Linked DNA regions of Mus musculus. The protein of the gene in region 2 interacts with the protein of the main gene of each other region in a pairwise test. Links are inferred from orthologs where the notes say so. Each region holds a gene or a part of one and is shown on either strand. Other genes may lie near its edges.

The links. The genes of interacting proteins can lie anywhere in the genome.
Region 1: the proteins of Cdr2 (region 2) and Pkn1 interact in binary tests that used the Homo sapiens proteins (3 or more experiments, as listed by UniProt). The link is inferred for Mus musculus from reciprocal best matches to the Homo sapiens genes CDR2 and PKN1.

The regions. Positions count from the first base shown.
Region 1 is NC_000074.6:83,689,093-83,692,742, forward strand, and holds part of Pkn1 (serine/threonine-protein kinase N1), read right to left. Parts: coding exon 3,544-3,650; intron 2,109-3,543; coding exon 1,957-2,108; intron 1-1,956. UniProt on the Homo sapiens protein: PKC-related serine/threonine-protein kinase involved in various processes such as regulation of the intermediate filaments of the actin cytoskeleton, cell migration, tumor cell invasion and transcription regulation.
Region 2 is NC_000073.6:120,958,174-120,961,823, forward strand, and holds part of Cdr2 (cerebellar degeneration-related protein 2), read right to left. Parts: intron 2,486-3,650; coding exon 2,337-2,485; intron 2,109-2,336; exon of another isoform or gene 2,084-2,108; coding exon 1,919-2,083; intron 625-1,918; coding exon 1-624.

The DNA.
Region 1 (3,650 bases), on a different chromosome or scaffold from region 2:
ATTTATTTATTTATTATATGTAAGTACACTGTAGCTGTCCTCAGACACTCCAGAAAAGGGAGTGTCAGACACTCTAGAAGAAGGAGTCAGATCTCATTACGGATGGTTGTGAGCCACCATGTGGTTGCTGGGATTTGAACTTCTGACCTTCGTAAGAGCAGTCGGGTGCTCTTACCCACTGAGCCATCTCACCAGCCCTGTCCCAAGCTCTTAAAGCCACTAAGTGACAACGTTCTATAGTAACATCATCAAATTGAATCTGTTCTTGTATATCAGAGTACCGCCCTTCACCCAACACCTCGTCTTTTACTGTATTCATCCCCTCGTTCTACTTCGTGATCCAATATTTGCAGCTTCTTCCCCCCACCATGTTAACCATGGCAACTGCAGACTGGTGTCTAAGCTGTCACCAATCCCTTCTAGTCTTGGAGAATAATTCTATTTTGAGTAGCACAGTTATTTAGAATTTGTTTCATATAAAGCTAGTGCATTCCTAAGAAGTCACAGTCCTTTAAAAGACTGTAGCTCTATCATGCCTCGAGGATGCCATCCTATGTCCCCATGACCCTTTTCCACACCGTCAGCAGGCCCATGCTGTACAACTAACTAGTGGTGATCTCCTAAGGCCAAGCTGCCCCTCCTCCATCTCTGGAGCTGTAGCTGGTTCGAGGTTAACCCCTTCTCTCTCTCTAACCAGTTCATCAGCTTGTCCTCTCACTTCCTCAGCCGGTTTCTGACCTGACTGCCTTCGGGCACAGTTTCTTTCCGTCTTTCCTCCTGAGGGAAACTCCTGCTCTCAGGACTGAGCCTTTTCTTCTCTCTTTCCTGGTGCTCACCACCTCTATCCGCAACCTCTCCCATGCACGGTCAACTCCAACCCTTCAGAAGAGAGAGCAGAGTGGCCCCCTTCTTTTCTCCATTTCAGTCATGTTTGTTTGTTTCTCAGGCCCTTCCATTTCCACTAGCAACTTTTCCAGCTGCCCAGCCAGTCCTTCAACCTTTTTCAAAGCAAAATATACAAAAAAGAAAAAGAAGAAAAAAAAAAAAAACCCTTTGGGAGCAAAGCAGGAAACATCCCAGTGGCAACAGCTACAATACATTTTTTGCTGGTGTCTTGAAAAAACAAAATCCATTCCTCCATTCCCTGTTTGTTTTCTCTAATTTCCCATTTTTATCCTTCACTTTCCATGTTTGGGCACCACTTATTGCCTGTCTTGTGCTATTTTATGGGTTCTTCTTTTCCCCAACCATTATCCCCCTGGTTTCACCCCTATCACTAGATAGGAGAGAAAGGATAGAGGGGAGAGGGAGGGAGGGGGAATCCTGGAGTCTTATTTCTTTCTTCTCCTTTCTTCTTTGAGTACAACTACTAACAAACTGCAACCATCCCCCCTGAATGACCACCAGCTACACCCACCTATCAGGACTGTAGCATTTATATATCCTCTGAGAAGTTCCCAGAATTTCAAGTGTTACACAACTGCAGAAACAATATGGAGCTGGCAAAACCATGCCCCTGCTAGAGCACGAGGCAAATCATAGTCAGCTGCTGTGGACAGTCAGAAGCAGTCCCATATCCCACACCTTGGATTAAAATGAAAATACATTCTTTTTTCTGAGTTTGTAAAGAAACAAAAATTCCAAAGTTGCCACTCCAGTTCAGCTTTTGACCTCAGCCTTGCTCTTTCACTTCTCTGAGCCTCAGTGCTCTCAACTACAAAGTCTGGACCTCCACTGGACTGAGGACTCATAGCCCAGTTTGTACCAGCTGGAACTACATCCTCCTCACCTCTCTGAACATCTCTGTGCAAGTGTCTGCAGAGCCACAGACAAATGGCCATGTACTGCAATAATATGATGCCCAGAGTAGATAAGTCAGAGGCAGGGAGCACACGGGAGAGACACAGCCTCCGGTCCGTCACAGTGACGAAAGGTTCTGGAGCACTGTGGTCTCACCTTGCTGCTGCCATTGCTATAGGTCTGGATCATGTTCTCTGCCCCCTGTTTGACCTTGAGCTCAATGGCCAGCTGCTTCTCCAGCCCAGCCACTCTGCTCAGGTTGGTGGATGAGCAGATAGGGCTGCCCTCTGCAAGGGATTGGGTAGCATCTGAGGAAACAAGAAAAGAAGAGAATCACACAGTGGTCACTTCAGTGTACCCAGGAGACCTGGGAGATTTTGTCCCAGCCAATAGGAAACCTTCATCCAGAAAAGGAGCCTAGGGGCCAGTACACGGGCAGGAGACATCTGGCTCTCAGTGACAGACTGGGCTTCAGCATGAGGGAGAGTGAGTTAGTGACCAGGTATGCAGGTCTTCAGGGTTAGCTGGAAAAAATGCCCCCATCTGCCTTAGGGTGTATAAGCCCACTGGTGTGTGTGTGATTATGTCTGTAGGCCACTGGTGGTAGAACCCTAGATGTGGGTGTAACAGTGTATATGTGTGAGCTTACAATGACACTGCTTCTTGTTGGTACAGCTCAGTTCTGATCTCTAGGGGTTTCTAGGATTGTTTTGAGACTTGGCTGTTGTCGTTGTCAGAGGTGAGGTCTGTAACACAAGAGAGATGCAGTGGTGGGGAACTGCAGAAAGGGCTTATGAGACTCTTGGCTGAACTCCAGCAGTATTGGACCCCAAAAGCTGACACAGCCATATGTAGAGGGGCTGAGCCTGTAGGCTGTAGGTAGAGTCTGCTGTGGATGGGACAGTGGTGGGATACCTCTCAAGGTTGGTGTGACCTAGTGGGAGAGCTCTAGTGTCATTGTGGGTTAGTTAGTGTGTCTCTCTAGGTATAAGTGACAGGACGCAAACCTTGGACGCTGTTTGGACGAGATTGTGCTCCTGTCTCTGGAATCACGTAATCGGGTTTGCTGTGTTGCCCAGGTGGCATAATTGACTGTACTTCTCTGAACATGTGTGTGACAGTATAAACTCTGGGTGTCTTCTGGTGTCCCTGTGACCATGACCATCTTAGGTACAAGATGAAGGAACCATTGCTTTGTTACTGCATGTACACACATAAAGTGACTGAACTCTGGCAATGATAAATTGTGTTGTGGGTTTTCTTTATGTACAAGTACACATGTGTGCATGCACATGTGTATACACAGAAGCCAGAGGGACATCAGGTAAGTTACTCACTTGTTCTCCACTTTCCTTCCTTCCTTCTTTCCTTCCTTCTTTACATATTGGAATGATTTAGGGAGCCATGAGGGTGACAGATGTGCAGTATTTGGGTGTCTGTTAGTGTGACTGTGGGCTTCTGGATTCTCATGTGATAGCATGTTTCTCAGTCGTTGTCTGAAAATAGTTGTAATGGTGTCCTTAGGTATCTGGTGACAGTGTGGGTCTCTGGTGTTACCTGGATGCTGGTGAGTCTATATCTAGGTACTCCTAATGCCAAAGACAGCTTTGAGTGGGGTCTGGGAAACAGGTGTGACTGTATTCATCCAGGTGCTAGTGGCCCTGTAAGCCTGGCCTCTCCTGTGGCTTCTGTGAACCCAGGACAGTATCCTGACAGAACACAGCTCCCAGGCTTTCTGCTCACCGCTTCCAGCTGCAGGGTCAGGCAGCACCACATGTGCATGCAGCTCCTGCAGCTGCTGGTGCAGTAAGTCTAGGCGTCGAGCGGAGCCCCGCAGCAGCAGCTCCACA
Region 2 (3,650 bases):
TTGTGTGACAGTGAGTCCTGCTCCTGCTGGCACTTCTTCAGTAGCTCTTCATACTTCACTTTCAGGGCACTGTACTGAGTGTCCACTTCATGCAGAAGGGAGATGCCCCTCTGCTTCACAGCCTTAGCCCTCCTGATGCAAGTGTCCTCATGGTCCTTCACGATGTCATCCCCTGCCAAACTGCTGAGCGCCGTCTCACTGCTGCTTCGTTTGAGTGGTTTTCTAGGTGCTTCTGGAGCAGCCAGGAACATTTCCTCCAGCAGACTCTGGCTAGGCTCCTTGAAAGGAACAAACAGAGAGTCGGGCACCAGCTTCTCCACACCATTCACAAAAGGATGCTCTGCCTGCAGCATCTGCCGCATCTCAGCCACCTCTGCCTCCAACTCCAGGGCCCGGGCTCGGTAGGCATCTGTGGCCCCCAGCTGCTGCTCCAGCTCACTGTTCTCCTTCAGCACCACTTTATACTCTGCCTCCACGCTCACTCGCTTCTTCCTCTCTAGACTTAGCTGGGCCTGCAACATCGTCACTGCCTTTTTCAGGTGCTCATTTTCTTCTTCATCAGGGCTCTGTTGGCTCTGCAAGGAAGTGATCTTCTCAGCGAACACGTGGTCATACACAAAGTGTCTGTGAGGAAACATGGGATATATAAAGGTCAGCTGAGACTGCAGAGGAGGCTGCTTTTCAACTAAGTCGTTTAAAAGCTGTGACATCAATTTTTAGCCCATTCCATACTACAAGCAGTGGCTACATGAAACTGTATGAGGCTGGTGAATTCTTGAAAGCAAATACAGGTTTTGTGGTTGACTTTTCCCCCAACAGTAAAAGTAGTACAGAAAACGCATGCCAAGGCCAGCAGAAAGATAGCTGCTTACTAGGAAATATAATGGACAGAAATTCTTATCAATAGTTGGAGATCACTATCAGCTGGGTGGTGGTCTTAGAACCTGGAGTTCACACCATCGGTTTTGAAAATTGTTGGTCTGCTGCCTGGACCTATGGAATTTTAAATGTTTTCCATAACGTGAAACCAAGGTTAAGGAACACAGTGTTTGGACCTTTAACCTGGGCTACCCATCAGAACCACTGGGGCAGCTTAATGGTCACATCTAGAAATTCTGACCTGAGGAGAGTTAGTATCTGCTCTAAGAAAACATGCACAGTGCCAGATGCACACATGTCATCTCAGCAGCACGTGGGAGGTGAAGGCCAGCTGGGCCGAATGAGACCTTATCTCAAAACCCCAAAATCGCCATAGGAAATGTGAGAGACATGAACTGGCCTCTCTTCTATTCAGTCCGAGGCAGCTTGTACCTATCTGTGTGTCTTGGTTATGGAGCATCTAACTCTCCATTAGAATGAAGGGTTTTGAGGACATAGAACATGTCCATTTTAGCCATCATTCCTGGATGTAATATGTGTTAAGTAAGCATTATTAAAGACTTAAAACCAAAACTATAAACTATAGAGTCATTTCTTTAGGAAAAAATACTTTTCTTCTTCTCATTTGGGACAAGGTCTCCGTGTAGTCCTAGCTGTCCTGACCTTGCCATGTTCTGGACTTGATCGTGCAGAGTCTGCCTCTGCTTCCTGAGTGCTGGAATTAGAGGCATGAGCTACCAAACCCAGCTTCCAAAGTTTCCACCTTTTCCTTCATTCTAAAGTGAAATACAACTCCCAAATCTGTACTACGGTGGAAGTATTACTAATTTTAAACTAATATTTAACAAATTAAAATGAAAAGAAAAGAAAGAAAAACTTTTCACAAAGTTACTGACACCCATGAACTCTCACTGCTACGTTTAGGTTCAGGGGCTCTGCTACCCACTGGTGTCTGACACGTTCCATCTATGTAACCCACAATATGTCAGTGACATGGGATGCTCCCAGTGTGCAAATCCACAGCAAGGAAGGCGCTTACTGGCGGAGGTCATACAGCTCTTTCAGACAGGAGAAGCTGGGTGCTGGTTTCTCCTGGTCACATGCCTTCTGCCTCCCTCTTCCTTGGCTGGAAGACTTCAGCTCCTCCACTTGGCTCTGCAGGTGATCAATGTTGGTTTGCAGGCATTCAATTGTTTCTGTCAGGCTATGAATAAAGCAGAAGCCGGTCGCTGCTTGTCAAAATAAATTAAGATCAAAACCAATGAAAGGGATTAGGTGTGAGCCACTCAAACTTGGCTTTCTTAATTGGAAAGGACTTACAGTTAATCCTCCTTCTCCCCCCACCTCCCCCCAAAAAAACCCTTATCCTAGACTGCCCAACCTTCTACAGGCACATTCTACTTCAAATTATCCTAACCCCTTTGTAGATTGTCCCCTGTAACAGTTAGAAAGTCTACCTGAGGATTTTCTGCTGTGAGGCCTTGCTCTCAGCAACTAGCTTCTGGTTGGTTTCTTCCAGTTCTCTTGCTGTGACATCTAACTGCTCATAAACTTTCGCATGCTGCTCATTCATTTGCCGTAGAAGCTCCACCTGCTTGGTCAGGTACTGTAAAAGAGGAGTCAGATCAGGTCACAGAGCAGATGAGATAACCTGCACACTTAACACCAATTCTATGGTTCTCCAACACCAACTAAAGCCAGGTGAGGGCGCCGGGCTTCACCTGTGGGCTCAGCACCCGCCTGGCATGGGGATGTGTTTGCCAGCCCAAAAGCTCCACAGCCTTAGAGTTTTGTCAAAGGCTTTGATAACTAAAGTTGCCTGATGCTCTGCCCACATATCTCCTGGCTAGCTAATAATGTGGGCCTCTCGTCATCCTATTACTCTGGACAACAATGGTTTTAGAAGACTTTTTAAGAAGCCAGGATTCAGGGACAAAGACCAAAAGTGAATTTTTTTTTTTTTTTTTTTTTTTTTACTATACTGTTGTCATCAGCTTACTTAATGGAAAAGAGAATATTAAATCCCAACAAAACTACCTTGTTTTAATAATAAAATCAGCACAAGCTATTTTCAATGTGCTTAGCTCCATTAATACTTCCCAAAACTCTGACATTCCATGAGTCTAGACTACTTTTACGAACGATATGCTTAATATTCAAAAGGAAAACCCAAAAGGAAATATGATAATCCCTCACGAAAACTTGGAAAACATGATAAAAGTTTAAGCACTGTGTCTAACAGAGGCTGGAGAGATGGCAGTGGTGAAGAGCCCTTGTTCTTATAGAGGACATGACGACCCACTGCCAGCATCCAACCCACAGATTACCACCTCTCTTAGCTCCAGTTCCAGGGGATCTGCTCCTTCCAACTTCTGCAGGCGTCAGGCACGCACACAAGTGCATGTACACACATTCAGGCAAAACAGTCATACAGATACAAATAATAAATCTTTAAAAAGCAAAAAAGGTTAAAATATATGTTTAACCAAAAGGAAAAAGGAAGGAAAAGCTTAAAGTAGAGGATTTTGATGGGTTTTTTGCTTGAAAAAAAAAAAATCAATCTTTTTTTCCTGAATGAGGCATTTTAGACAAAACTAGTGAAAAATACATTAATTTTACCAGGTACTTTAATATATATCAAAATCTTGTTACCTCTTTCTACAGGAATGTTATCTCTATTATCCTTACTCTTGAGATACTTAGCAGGTTATTTATTTTGGTCCTGCTAAGACTGCTTTCTGAAGATGGAGGATAAGCGCAGTCTTAATACC